2 linked regions of the Notamacropus eugenii genome follow. The protein of the gene in region 2 purifies or fractionates together with the protein of the main gene of each other region. This does not show direct contact. Links are inferred from orthologs where the notes say so. Each region holds a gene or a part of one and is shown on either strand. Other genes may lie near its edges.

Region 1 (7,448 bases), on a different chromosome or scaffold from region 2:
TTTGCCCTGCTACACATCAATCTTCATCAGTCTGGCTGAGGTACCCCATCTGTCCCAGTCTGTGTTGCCCTGTCTCCTGGCCCCTGTTGCCAACCACTCCTATCTGAGTCTATGTGTGGCTCTCAGTTTCTGTCCCCATCTGTTCGTCCTCTTGCTCTCACTTCTCCTGAAACCTGTGCTTGCCCCTTCTTCCTGTCTTTCTCTCTTCCCCATAGGAAGAGGGGGGAAATTTGTATTATGTAAAAATTGCCATTTACCTAAAGTGAGAACTGTCTATACTCCAAAATATTTATAGCAACACTTTTTTTTATGATAACTAAGAATTCAAATCAAAGTGGATACTTATCAATCAGAGAATGGCCAAACAAATTGTGGTACATGAATGTAATGAACTATTGCTGTGCTGTAAAAAATTATGCGTATGATGAATACACAGAAGCAAGGAAAGATCTATATGAAATGATGCAGATTGAAGTAAGCAGAGCCAAGGAAACAATGCATACAACAGCTACAACAATGTACACTGAAAACATACTAGAAAATCAAAAGCAAATGTAACAAAATTATAAAGATCAAAAAGAACTCAAATGAAGAGACAGCAGCAGACACCTCCACCCTACACCTTTGAGCAGGTAGAAGGTTTACACATTGCACATATTTTCTTCAGACCGTTTTGAATCTATCCATCAATTTTGCTAGGGCAGGTATGTGTCACAGTCCCAGGCCTGGAATCAGGAAGACTCATCATAGCATGGCCTCAGATAATTAGTAGTTGTGTGACCCTGGGCAGGTCACTTAACCCTGTTTGCCAGTTTCCTCACCCATAAAATGAGTTGGAGAAGGAAATAGCAAAGTACTCTTTCTTTGACAAGAAAACCCCAAATGGGGTCATGAAGAATCAGACATGACTGAACAACAGTTTTGCTGACTTTTCTTCCTATTTAAAAAATACTATTTGTCACATGAGATGGCTTTCAGGAAGGGGTATAGGGTGGAATACGTGAAATATCATGATAATGTGAGAAATAGGAAAAAAAAGTAAAAACTCAGTTTTATAAAAAGAATGATTTTCTCCTGAAAAAAAAAAAACAACCTGAAATTATAATAACCAAGTTTAGCCTGTAGAAGAGACTAGAAAATGCACCCTCCCTTCTTTGCAGAGGTGGAAGACACCCTGGTATGGAACACTGTGTAGAATAACATCAGACTTTTTCCATATATTGCTTAGTTTTGCTGAACTTCTTTCCCCATTCTTGTTATAAGGAATGGCTCTCTGAGAGGTGCATATTGGGTTGGGGAGGGAGAGAGAGGTGTACAAAGTTATAGTTGTAAAGGCTGTTAGTGTAAAAAACAAACTATACATTTTTAAAAAACCAAACAAAATGCACACTCCTCACAAATCTTTAAGGTGGATCCTAAGGGGACTATTGTCCCCACTTTATAAATAAAATGAGGCCCAAGGCCAAGGGACCTGTTTAGGGTCACCCAAGTTTCAGCTCCCTTCCCTAGAGGCTTCCTGGAAACCTCTCTAGGACTCAGTTTCCTAATCTGTAAAAAAAAAAAAGGGACTGGGGAGAGTTGGACTAGACAGAATGATCTCTCAGGGATCTAATGATCCCTTCCAGCTATCAGTCCTGTAACACTAAAATTACTTGGAAGCTTTAAAGTAACAACTTTGTGATGTTTTACTCTGAAGAGAAAAACAGACTGATCAACTTGGAACACTCAGCAAACATGAACCGGCACACCCTGTCAAAATGCCTACCTTGAGAAACACAATTGTGAAACAATAAAGAATAGTCCTTGGACACAAATAAACTCAGTCTCCTCCCTTTACACATAAACCTTTCCTTTTGAGGGAGGGGTAAAACTTCAAAAATAAGCAGTCCTTGGAAAATGAAACCACGTAGGCACAGTTCAGCCCTGCCTCTTTTAAATCCAATTCACTTGCAAGTTAGGATATCCCATTCCCCGGAAGTCAAGGTCCTCTTCAAATAGAAGGAAAAACAACCACACCAACGTCTTGCCTCTTCTAGGACTATTTAAAGTGAGAAACGGAAACTGCCGAATTTCACAGACTCCTGCGTGCTAGCCACTTGTTTCAGTGTTAAACAAATTAAAGTTTCTGATCGGCGTAAACTGAGTGGCAACCCCAGTTTCAGTGGGTCTAAAAAGGACACAAAGATCAGGACAGAAAAAAGGGTTCCTCCTTCTCTCGGGACAAGAAATCCTCAGTACCTCCCAAGAGAAGGATGCCATGTCTCGTTTCTTTCCAGGTCTCTAGTCTGTGCTTCCTTCCAGATCCAGCCAGCAGCTGGTCTGGGACCACTGCCAAGGAAAGGTCAGGCAAAATGATGATTTAAACACAAACACACAATAACCCACCTATGATTCAGATAAGAACCGTCTGCCAGCAGCCCTCCCTCCCCTCCCTAAACCCCTTTAAAAGACAGATCAGAAGTAGACATGTTCACAGCATTAAGGAAAGGAAAATTAAAGAAAAAGGGGCAAGGGTGGTAGGAGTAAGTAACTCACCCTCAAAACTGCGGCTCCGGAGCTCCAGAATCCTAAAGTGAAAGTGAGGTTCTGACCAGTGAGCTATCTGACCAACAGTGAGCCCAACAGAGTGCCCACTGCGCCCACTCCTCAGAACTTGGACTGCAGCTTCTTACAAGAATTTTACCCAGTTTGCCGCTTACGATCCCGAACTTAGCACCGGGGCAAGAGCTCCTATCCCGCACGCCCAAGCACTGGAGGGCAGGACCAACCCCAGGCTTGAGGACTCGGAGGTGACGGATCTAGGGTTTTGTCCACGCCCAGCAGTAGTTCTCCCATTGCTGGAGTTCAAAATCGGGGTCTCTTGTGATTAGGTTTTAATAATTAGTGTAGCTAGTTCGAAGTTACAGGAATCGGGGGAAATTTACTCTATGTTAACTCAAAAGACATCAATAAAAAAATTTTTTTTTAAAGTCATAGGGATTTCGAGCTGGAAGAGTCATTTAGAGGTTTAACATACCTCTGTGTAGCTTACTCCATGTCTGACCTTGGGCAGGTACCTCTGGGCCTCAGTTTCCCCATCTGTAAAAAGAAGAGATTGAACTCGTTCTTTCAGGTTCCTTGCAGTTCTAAATCTGGGATCCTGTGAACATAGCAGCTTATAAGGTTTTGCTCATTTTGTAGAGGAATAACCTGAAGCCCTAAGTACTACTAGTAACGTGAAACATCGATACCTTTATGGTTCAGGCATGATCCATGCTTACTTGCTCTCCCCTACATTCTAGTTAAAGAGCAAAGGGCTGACTCTAGGGCAGAGGGGGCAGGGTTGGTAGTGAAATCAGGACCTTTGCTCAAATTCCTGTCTGACCTCTGACTAATAGATGAGTCATTTAACCTTGCTTGTTCTTGTCTGTAAAATGAGGGGGAGGACTAGACAGTCTTTGGGGTTCCTTCCCGACTCTAAAGTAATGATCTATGCATGAGCAAAGCCTGCAGAGCTGTCTCATTATTAATCCCCATTTTCATACCCCACCCACTCTCACCCTTCAACCTGGGATCTAATGGAAAGCTTTTGTTGTGAAGGGTCAATTTTTTTTCCATTTTTAACCTTTTTTTCCTCTTCAAGTTGATGAAAAGGGTCTTTTTCTTTCTTTATTTTGTATTGTTAAAGCTATTTTGTGTTGAGCCATAACAATGGAAATGTGGCAATGTGGGCCTATTTAACCGTCGTTATTTGAAGTCTCAAATGAATTTATTTCCAATACTGCTTTTCCTACTTGTTTGACTTTGGGCAAGTTGCTTTACTTCTCTGGGCTTTCCTTTCCGTGTGTGTGTGTGTGTGTGTGTGTGTGTGTGTGTGTGTGTGTGTGTGTGTGTGTGTGTGTGTGTGTGTGTGTGTGAGGACTACATTAGATGGTTTCTGAGGTCCTTTCCAGTTGTAAATCTATGATCCAAGACTTAGGTTTGACTCTTTCCTACCTCAGATCCTTACCAGCTGTGTAATCCTGGACCCTTAACAACAATGAACCTTAGTATGCTCACCTGAAAAGTGAGGATAGTAACACCTACTTCAAAGAAGTTATAGGAAGTCTCCAATGAGCAATATATATAAAGTACTAAAGAAATGTGTGCTGTTATGATGCTATAATGAGCCTGTGATCCTACCCTGAAATCACTAGTTTGAGGAACAGAAGACCCATATCGATTCTTCTTACATTTGCCAAAATGTTTGCCAAAGTTTAGCACACCCTCCCCCTCCCCACATGTCATTATTAAAGCAGAAGTGTGACTAAATCAAAGGGAGACAGTATTTTGGGAAAATGTACTCATGAGTACACTGGTGAGGCTGGGCAGTGTTAAAACAGGATATTGCTTCATTTGGCCAGCACAATTTGACTTCTTCCTTGATTATGAAAAAGGCATAGGAAGCAAGCTCTCCATAAATGTTAACTATTATTATTATATGGCTCAAACAACTCATTGATAAGTTTACACAGATGTGAGTAAAAAGGTTTCCAGATCCCATAGGAACATAACCTTTATTCCATCCTACAGAATGTACAAAACAACATAAAGAATTCATAATAGCCCATAAACAGTTGATTTGTTTCCTCTTTTTTTTCCCAATGAGTTCCACCTTTCCCCCTATGGCCTATGTGCAATTGTCTGGACTTCTGGCATCAGTCTGTGGTTTGGACTGCCTCCTGGAGGGGAAATGAATTTGGAGCAGCTAAAGGCTCAAGTCTCTAAGGATTTAGACTTCTCTAGAAAAGATAAGTAAGCCTTCTCCTTCCTACTGAATCTGCACTGTCTTCATAACTAAATAATAACATTTATATAATTCTTTACAGTTTGCAAAAGTGCTTTAGAAATGGTTGTTGTTGACCTTCCTTCTCAAAGAGGACCCAAATGACATCACTGTGCTAGAGTCAGGTTTCAGTGTGTCCAGCTGTGGTTGATCAGACCAATATGATCTCAGAATGCTCTACCACAGGTCAGGCACAAATGGTCGGTATGAACATTTGAGGTGGAGATGCTAAATATGTACATCCTGAGTTTCCTTTGAGCTGTTTCAATTCTGCTTTGTTCAGAGCCCAACACCTACTCTGATGTAGGCATGCCATACTGAGTAGTCCTGTGCCAGCAACTCCCAAGTCATACAATCAATTCCAAAGTTCTTAAGAGAGACCTTGAGTGTGACCTTGCATTTCTTCTGACCACCATGTGAATGCTTACCCTGTGTGAGTCCTACATAAAACAGTTTTTTTGGCAAGTGTACATTTTGCATTCAAACAATGTGGCCAGGCCATTGGAGTTCTGCTCTCTGAAGCATAACTTGAATGCTTGACAGTTCAGCTTGAGCAAGGACTTCAGTGTCTGGTACCTTATCCTTCCAGGTGATCCTCAGAATCTTCCTAAGACAGTTCAAATGGAAGTGATTCAGTTTCCTGGCATGGCACTAGTAGACTGTCCATGTTTCACAGGCATACAACAATGAGGTCAGCACAACAACTCTGTAGACCTTCAGTTTGGTAGTCAGTCTAATCGCTCTTTTCTCCCAAACTTTTCTTCGGAGCCTCCCAAACACCCAGCTAGCGCCAGCAATGCATGCATCAACCTCCTTGTCAATGTATACATCCCTGGAAAGTACACTACCAAGGCAAGTGAACTTATCCACAGCATTCAAAACTTCTCCATTTGCTGTAGCCAATGGTTCCATGTATGGATGGTGTGATGGTGGCTGATGGAGCACCTGTGTTTTCTTGGTGTTAATTGTTAGGCAAAAATTAGCATCAGCATCAGAGAATTGATCCATACTTTGTTGCATCTTACTTCAGAGGCTTCATTGAGTGCACAATCATCCACAAACAGAAAATCATGTACCAACACTCCCTCTACTTTGGTCTTGGCTTGTAGCCTTTTCAAATTGAAAAACTTACCATCAGTGTGGTAGCTGACCTTGATGCCATGTTCATCCTCATTGAAAGCATTTGACCACATGGCTGAAAACATCATGCTAAAAATCATGGGAGCAAACACACAGCCTTGTTTCACTCCACTGATGACTGGGAAGGCAAGAGAGCATTGTCCATTATCTAGAACCCGGACCAGGATGCCATCGTGAAATTGACATACAATGCTGATGAACTTCTCTGGGCTTTAGAAATATAACCTCACTTTATCCCCATACCAACACTGAGGGGTAGGCGCTATTATCACCATTTTACAGATGAGGAGACTATGGATCAAAGAGGTTAAGTGTCTTGTCCAAAGTCATGTATTCATATCTGAAGCTAGATTTTAACTCAAGTCTTCCTGACTCCGTAAGAGCAAAGTCTTTTGCTTCTCCCATATAATAGCTTTGAGCAGCTAAATGATGAAATGGATAGAGTGCAGTGACTAGAGTTAGGAAGACATCATCTTCCTGAGTCCAAATCTGGCCTCAGACACTTACCAGTTGTGTGACCCTGGGCAAGTCACTTAACCCTGTTTGCCTCAGTTTCCTCATCTACAAAATGAGCTGGAGAAAGAAATGGCAAACCACTCCAGTATCTCTGCCAAGAAAGCCCTAAAGGGGGTTGTGAAGAGTCAGACACAATGATTGAACAACATAATAGCTGTACTCCTTCTCTGCGGAGGGCTCCACATGTACAATCCTCTTCTTTTCAAGAATGTGGTACTGGTCAGTAACTCCACTCACTAGAAGGCAGCGTCCTTCAACTCTCCAACTTATGTTTTGCTAGAGAGGCAACCCCCATAGTTGCATACAACTATGCATGTGACTATCATATGGAAAATGTCCCCACCTATGTCATGTAAGGGACAAAGATAAAGAATTTGAATGGCAGGGTGGGACTTTACCAGCATCATGGCTTCCCTGTTCATAATACCTCAATGCCTATGACTTAGATCTTTATTCCACCTCATTAACCCATAGGAATGAGTGGTCATACCTTATATTTCACCACTATGACCTTGAACTCTGAAATCCTCCTTTCCGTTCATCATTTCCCATCCTCTATTTTTCTGTTTCATTCCCACCCTCCACCCCCATTTTTCATTCTAACTCTGATCTCTGATTCCTCTGTTCTTTCCTGTTCTCCTTGTTTATGGTGAGAGGCAGGGGGTAGAGACTATCAGTCTTTACTATCAGTGAGTAGAGTGCTGGGTCTAAAGCCAAGTGAATTCAAATCCTGCCTTAGACTTACCAGACATTTACTAGCTGTGTGACCCTGAGCAAGTCACTTAACTTCTGTTCGCCTCAGTTTCATCACCTGTAAAGTGAGGATAATAATAGCACCTACCTCCCAGGGTTTTTGTGAGGATTAAATTAGATAATAATTGTAGAAGTACTCAGTACAGTGCCTGGCACATAATGAATGTTATATAAATGTCAGCTGTTATTACACTTGAATTCACTGTCCCCTCATCCTGGCACTACTCATGCTTTG
Region 2 (8,087 bases):
GTGAATTAGGGGGTTGTCTACTCCAAGTATGTGAAGACTTCTCTAGTGGAATAGACAGGTGTGAACAATTTGTTCCAATGGGCCATGACAGTAGTGGAAGCAGGGAATGTGGACCACTTAGACTTTGGTTAGACATTGAAGATACCAAGGTAATCCATTGCATCCCAAGCCATCACTAGTTATATTGACTTTTGTCTTACCACTGTATTCTGATGACTCTGGAAGAAAGAGACCAATGATTTGGTACAATTCTGCTTCACTTAAATCGAATATCTCTGCCAAGTCAAAAGATATCATTCATATCATTTTTACCTGCCTCAAAGTCTTGTGGTAACAAGCAAGTGATGATGCAGCAGGTGTAGATACACTGGGCCCTGTAGTCATTGCCCTGCATATAGGTGGCCCAGGCTAAAGGGTTATCATGCCACTGGACTGAAGCAGCAGTGGGATTTGGCAGCTCACTGGATGTCTGAGCAGCCTTTTCTAAGGACTACACTGCTCACTCAACTCCTGGCATGAAGAAGACATACTTACTAAGTCAGGTGGCGATCCCACCCTGTGGTTGACACACACACACATACACACACACACACACACACACACACACTTTTACAAAAATGATTCCATGTACTATTGGTGCATGAAATGTATGCAAACTTACAGAAAATATGAAATCCAGTAGACCTGAAAGACAAACATGTCTTGTTGTGAGAGAATTGAGCAGTATCATAGCCAAAAAGTAGCCCTGAGTGAAACAAATCTGGCAAATGAAGGCTAGCTTATCCAAGTTGGAGCCAGATTCATGTTTTTCTGGAGTGGCCATAGTGGAGGTGGCATAGGTTTCAGTATCAAATCTAATCTAATCTAATGCAATCTAGTCAATAAGCTTGTATGCATCCCAAAAGGAGTAAACAACAGGCTCATGACAATGTGATTGCCATTTGCAAGAAAGTGCCATACCACCTTCATCAGTGTATATGGTTCCACTGCGATGAACCCTTATGTGATCAAAGAAGAATTTTATGAAGACCTAAAGACCCTCATCATCAATGTGCCAAAAGAATACAAGCTTATAATCCTGGGTGACTGTAATGCTAGAGTAGGCTGAGAATACCAGACATGGCAGGGAGTCCTTGGGAAGAATGGAGCTGGACACAGCAACTGCAGTGGTCACTTACTATTGAAGACTTATGCATCTCATGACCATCTCATCATCAACATTATTCCATGTACCTAAACATAATAAAGCTTCATGGATGCATCTTTGGATCAAATATTGGCATTTAATAGATTATCTGGTGCTGATCCTATTCCAAATGAGATGCATAAGGCAAGGAGTCCACTGATGAAAGAAAAGCTGACTGAAATCTTGCAGGTTATATGGCAAGAGGAGGCTATCTCCCAGGAGTTCAAGGAGTTCAGTGCCTCTATTGTTCATCTCCATAAAGGAAAAGGAAATAGGTAGTCCTGTGACAATCCTAGGGAGTTCTCTCTCTTAGTTATTGTCAGCAAGATTCTTACTAGAGTCGTCCTTAATAGACTGATCCTTCACCTGGAAGATGGTTACCTACCAGAGAGCCAATGTGGCTTCAGGTGTTTGCTGCCTGACAACTGCAGGACAAATGGGGAGCAGAACAAGGAACTGTATACAACAGTTGTCAATCTGACCAAGGTCTTTGATACAGTCAGTCATGAGGGCTTGTGAAAGATTATGGCAAAATTTGGTGCCTGGACGAGTTCAGAGTTCATCGGTATTGTAATTCAGTTCTATGACTGCATGTTTGCACAGTTTCTGAATAATGGATAATGCTCTCATGCTTTCCTGGTCACCAATGAAGTGAAGCAGGGCTGTGTATATGCTCCCATACTTTTTAGCATGATGTTTTCAGTGATGTTGTCAAATGCCTTCAATTAGGGCAAAAATTCCATAAAGACCAGCTACCACACTGATGATAAATTACTTAACTTGAAAAGGGTACAAGTCAAGACTAAAGAGAAGGAATCATTGGTGTGCGACTTTTTGTTTGCACATGATTGTGCACTGAATGCAGCCTCTGAGGCTGAAATGCAACCAAGTATGGATTGATTCTTGTTGGGGGTGTAAACTCAGTTCCATGTGGACAGTCTCGGGCAGGTAAAAGTGAGGACTTCTAAACCCTAGAGTTCTCATGAGGCCCCCCAGGGAACAGCAGGGAATTGAGGTGTGAGACCGAGCTATCTCGTGCATTTCCGCCTCTTCCTGTGGGAAACGCTGGGAGAGAGCATCCCCCGGATCTGAGCACACCTATTGTTGTCTAACAGGCACGGTATATCAGGTGTAAACTATGCGGCCGGAGAACTTAAGTAGGGTCAGGAAAGCCTGAAGGCTCTTAGCGCTGAGGGGCCCTTAGAGGACAGGAGGCCCCTCTTCCTTCTCTCCTCTCTTCTTTCTTCCCTCTCCCCTCTCTCCCCACTTAAACTTCTGCTTTCATTCTCTTACTGTAAGATCTTTGCCTCCTTGGGAGATTTCCCTCTCTCCTAAGGAAGAGTTCCCCCTGCACATGTAACCAAGACCCTGAATAAAGCCTAACCCTTGTTCGACTCTGGAAAGTCTCTTCTCTCATACGTTTATCCGGTTTGGCCAGCAGAAGACCTGCAATAGGTAAGGTAAGACTCGGGTAGCCCTCAGGCCTCTAGGCCTGGCAGATTCTCTGTTGCTTGTGCTAATTTTGGCCTAACAATTAACACCAAGGAAACACAGGTGGTCTACCAGTCAGCACTGCTCCATTCAAATAGGGAACCAACAGCAAATGGAGAAATTTTGAATGCTGTAGATAAGTTCACTTAGCAGTATACTTTTTAGGGATGTCCACATACATGTGGCTCCACATAGATGAAGAGATTGACACATGCATTGCCAGAGCTAGCTCAGTGTTTGGGAGGCTCAGAAGACAAGTGTGGGAGAGAAGAGATATTAGGCTGCCTACCAAACTGAAGGTCTACAGAGCTATTGGGCTGACTTCATTATTATATGCCTGTGAAACCTGGACAGTCTACCAGCCCTGCGCCAGGAAATGGAATCATTTTCATTTGAATTTTCTTAGGAAGATTCTGAAGATCACCTGGCAAGATATTACCAAGACAATGAGGTCCTTTCTGGAGCTGAACTGCCAATCATTCAAGTCCTACTGTAAGGAGTGCAACTCCAATGGGTTGGCCATGTTGTTTGAATGCCAAATGTAAGTTTGCTTAAATGACTATTTTATGGAAAACTCACACAAAACAAGTGCTCACATGGAGGTCAGAAGAAGTGATACAAGGACATTCTCAAGAAGAACTCTGGAATCTATTGTAAGAATTAGGAGTCTGACACAAATGTCAGTGCTGTGCTCTATGAGCAAAGAATTGCAGTAGTTCAAAGGAAATGTGAGATGCACAAATTTAGAAACATTTCTATTCCATCTCCACTTAAAACTATTTGTGCCTGACATGTAGTAGAGTCTTCCAAGGCTCTTTCAAGCTCCTATTGGTCTGATCTGCCAGTCAGACACATCTTGATTCCAACATAGTGATATCATTTTGGTCCTCCTTGAGAAAGAAGGATACCAATCGTGTGCTGTTTTCTTGGCTTTGTTTTCTTCACATTGCACACTCCCTATATACGACAAACATTTTGTAAGCATAAATACTTCAAGGTTTCAAATCCCTGCACTCCACCCTGGATCGAGTATCTCCCACAGGTCAGATTTTAAACCCTTTGGCTAATTTGCCTCTTGTCTCAGAAAGTGTGTGTTCATCCTTCCTTGCCAAAGAAGACCATGCCATCAGAGAAATAATGACAGGACTTGCACTTGACTTTGCTTTTGAGTGAGGGAGGGCTGTGCAGGTCACCAGTCTCACTTCTCCTCCAGAGCCATCTGAATCCAGTGACCAAATATTCATCAGGATGACTAGAGATGACCCAGGATGAGGCAATTGGGATTGTGACTTGCCCAAGGTCACACAGCTAGTGAATGTCAAATGTCTAGGAGTTGCAGTGGATAAAGCACCAGTGGAGCAGTCAGGAGGACCTGAGCATAGAAAGTAAAACTGTACCTCCTTCAGAATTTAGGCAACAAAATCTTGCTTTACAGCCTAATACTGCCAATTTCATGACAGGATTGGTGAATTAATGATCTTATGTTTGTACAGAACTTTATAATTGCAGAGTGTTTTGACATGTCTTATTGAGGGGTCAGCTTAGTTAAATCAGAGTAACTTTGGCTCTGGTGCCAAAAGAGCTAGGTTCATATCCAGCTTCTGGCCTTGGACCCTTCACTGAATCTCCGTGTGCCTTGGATTTCTCTACTTCTAAAATAAGGGAGTTGGACTTTGAAGTCACTTTGAGCTCTAGATCTGTGATCCTAGGATCTCCTTTCATCCTCATAATCTCCCCGTAAGGTAGTTAGTAGAGGTAATATTAAACATATTTTGTGGATATGGAAATTGATAGGCATAAAATTATTCCAGATAACATTACTGATAAATGGAAAAGTACGAACTCAAATTCCTGTGAGGTCTTCTGGCTCCAAGCCCTGTGTGACAATGCTTTCTCAGCTCATAGTGGAAGAGGATGTGTCTAGGTGCACAAAAGATAGAGCTCTGGACCTAGCGTCGGGAAGATAAGAGCTCAAATCCAGCCTTACGTACTTACTCACAATGTGTTACTGTAAGGGGAAAAAATGAAGTAAAATTTGTAAATTGCTTTGCAAACCTTATAGTGATATATAAATGCTGACCATTATTATTGAAAGAGACACTTTGTCTATAAGAGATTCCTGATAAATATAGAGATCGTAGTTAAAAAAAAAAAATAAAAAGTAAAACTGAAACTCTGCTCTTCTACGAAATTTCCGAGAATTTCTCAGCCTACCTGATCCTCCTTCTTCTTCCCACTCAGACACCTCCTACTTCGGGCGTGGCTTATGTTGTAACGTACTTAAGTTAGAGTCGGACTCGCACCCGAAGTTGATCCCTAGAGGCGAGAGGTTTACTTTGGCGCATCTGAGTCCAGCCGGACGCGGACTGCCCTGCCCTGCCCAGCACAGCACAGCACGAGCGGGTCCTCACTTGCACGGAATAGAACGTGGTCGGACTGGGAGCCCCTGGGAAAGTTTGATCCTAGGGGGATGAGCGACGCCACGGCTACGCTATGCCGTCCTTGGAAGGATCTCACTTTCCTGTGTCTGGTAAGTCAATTAATCCATCCCCCTCTTCCCTTCCTTGTTCTGCCCTCGCGGGACGCGCGTGGGAGAAGGACCGTCGGAATCTGTAAACTGGGCGGAGGGCAAGTCTAGGCATAACGCGCGCTGGGCTCGCCCGGGAGGCTGGTGACGTAGGCAATGGGACCGAAAACCTTGCGCCGTGGTGGGCAGCATGGGGCCGGGAGGGTTGCCAGCCTCGTGACTCCGGGCAGAGACGTGGAGGAGAGCTTCATGAAAAGACCGCTGGGTTTGGAGTCGGTCTGGACAAATGAAAGGGTGAAGCCTACAGCCCGAGATCTTGGATTCTCTAGTGGGAAGGGTGCTCCCCTTAGGTGTTTCCTTTAGGGGATTTTTGAGGAAGTCATCGGCTCCCCAATTTCTAGCTGAGATTTCAGAGCATCTTCACTCACTCTCCTAACTCTTCCGCGCTTCCCATCCCCCACCTCATACCTACTTCCTTATGCCCGCCGCTTTTCATTTCACAGCAGATGAGGGAGGGTGAAAGTGCCCCAGGATTTTCATAGTCTCTTTCACAGAAGAATGACTCATTGGGTGAAAAAAAAAAAGATTCCTGCGAAGACTAGGACATGTGCACCGACCGCAAAATGGCAGTGTGTTCTGCTCCGAGTGCTGAACGGAACACTTGCTGTGCCAGGGGAGAGATAAAGGGGCCAGATTTGGAGCCAACAAGACCTGGATTTAAATCATGATCCCTGACACTTTAATAACTGTGTCTTTAAAATTGGTGAGCCACAATTTCCTCCTCTAAAATGGGGATAATAATACCTGGACCTACTTTAAAGAATTATTTTTTGTTACTGTTATTCTTTTACTGGACCTGTGGTTTCTGATATAAAATTTATTTAAAAATTTATAAAATTACTTCTGAGGAATTTCTTTTATCATTGAAGATCAGCACCTCTGAAATTAACCAACAGGCTTTTATTAAGTGCTTACTGAAAGCCAGTCACTGTGCTAAATCCTGGGGGATGCTGTCTCTGCATTCAAGGAGCTCCCTTTCTAACAGGGGAAACAATGTAAATAATTGTGTATAGATAAAGAATTTATATGTATGTGTACCTTTACACAAAGGACACTTTATGAAGGTAATATGAGAAGGAGGGCAGCTAGGTGGTGCAGTGAGTTGGATAGAAATCAGGACTTCAGATCTGGCCTCAGATACTTACTGGCTGCGTCACGGTCGGGAATTCCCTTAACCCTGTTTGCCTTGGTTTCCTCATCTATAAAATGAGCTGGAGAAGGAAATGGCAAACCACTCCAGAACTTTTGCCAAGAAAACCCCAAATGCAGTCACAAAGAGTCAGACACGACTGAAAACAACTGAACAATACCAAGGACAGAAAAACCTCTGAGAAGAAAAGCACTAGCAGCAGCAGTGATTGGGAAAGGCATTCTGAAGAAGTGGAGGTTTGAGCACTCTTGAAGGAAGCCTGGGAAGCTAGGAGCTGGAGACAAAAAACCGACTGGTGCTGGTTCAAAGGCAGAGAGTTGAGAGATGGCATATTCTAGGAATAGAAATTAGGAGAATGTGTGAAGGGGAGAAAAGTGTAAGAAGAATAGAAAGGTAGGAAGGGACCAGATTCTGAAGGGCTTTACATCCCAAATATATATTTTATCCTGGATATAATCTTTAGCTACTGAGGCAACTAGGTGACACAGTGGATCCTAGGCAAGTCACTTAACCTCTGTTTGCCTCTGTTTCCTCAGTTGTAAAATGGGGATAATAATAGCACCTACTTCCTAGGTTGTTCTAACTATCAAATGAAAGTATTTAAAAGTGTAGTGCCTGGCACAAAATAGGCATTTAATAAATGCTTCCCCTTTCCCCTGACATTCAATTGAGGAAAATCACTTTGAGAGCTGAGTGGAGGATGGATAGAATTCAGAAAGACTTGAAGCAGACAGACCCATTAGAAGACTGCTGTAGTAGCTCCAGGGGAGAGGTGAGAAGGATCTGAACTAGGATGATGGCTGTGTGAATAGAGAGAATGGAACATATGTTGGTGCAAAGAGAGAAATGAAAAGAGATTAGATATGGGGGCCTGTGGGAAAGTGAGGAGTCTTGGTTGATCCTGGGTAGCTGGGGGGATAGACATGGCCTTGACAATAAATAGGAAAGTTGGGGAGAAAGGAGGGTTTTCCTAGTATTACACAGTCAGCATAAATGAGAGGTAGCCCTACAGATCTCCATCCACTAAGCCATGATGCCTCTCTCTGGGTTGATATGAGTTTCAAAGGAGATAATGGATGCAGAGTACCTTGGAAACCTTAGATTGATACACATATTTCAGCTATTATTATTATTAGCTTTATCATCATCATCACCACCACCACCACCATCATCATCTCTACCACCATCCACAATCAAATCCATTTAGTGGTCTTGTTTAGAGGTTCCCAGGAAGGCAACATAATAAAAACAGAACAGAATCAAAAAGGATCCATGCCTTCAAAGAATTTAGTTTATTTTACAATCAGTGATTCAATTATGTCTCATTTTGAAGACCCAAAAGGTCCCCTTTGTGAGTGTCTATAGAACAATTGGGCTGGATTCCATTAATGAGTTCGGGAAGGGAATCAAGTTAGTTAAAAAGTAGAATTCAAATTCCATCTTTGAAAGTTACTGCCTGGGTGACCTTGGGTAAGTGACTCAACCTTCCTGGAGTTTCCTGCTTTGTAAAATGAGGGCATTGAACCACATAGTGTCAAAGGTCCCTTCCAAATCTAAATCTGTGATCCTGCCATCTCAGAACAAAAGGTTTTTAAAGCCGCAGGTAAGCAGACTCTTCTGTTAATTAACTGTAAAGTGCTAATGTGAGCTGCTCCTTTGCAGCATGTTGATAA

Evidence for each region. The genes of interacting proteins can lie anywhere in the genome.
Region 1: the proteins of tumor necrosis factor receptor superfamily member 10A-like (region 2) and CFLAR purify together in Homo sapiens (affinity purification with western blotting; 5 studies listed by BioGRID and IntAct, with this or other methods). This does not show direct contact. The link is inferred for Notamacropus eugenii from reciprocal best matches to the Homo sapiens genes TNFRSF10A and CFLAR.

Annotation. Positions count from the first base shown.
Region 1 is NC_092877.1:297,264,518-297,271,965, reverse strand, and holds the start of CFLAR (CASP8 and FADD-like apoptosis regulator), read right to left. Parts: upstream 3,004-7,448; 5' UTR 2,536-3,003; intron 1-2,535. UniProt on the Homo sapiens protein: Apoptosis regulator protein which may function as a crucial link between cell survival and cell death pathways in mammalian cells. Acts as an inhibitor of TNFRSF6 mediated apoptosis.
Region 2 is NC_092872.1:611,393,771-611,401,857, forward strand, and holds the start of tumor necrosis factor receptor superfamily member 10A-like, read left to right. Parts: upstream 1-4,989; 5' UTR 4,990-5,147; coding exon 5,148-5,207; intron 5,208-8,087. UniProt on the Homo sapiens protein: Receptor for the cytotoxic ligand TNFSF10/TRAIL. The adapter molecule FADD recruits caspase-8 to the activated receptor.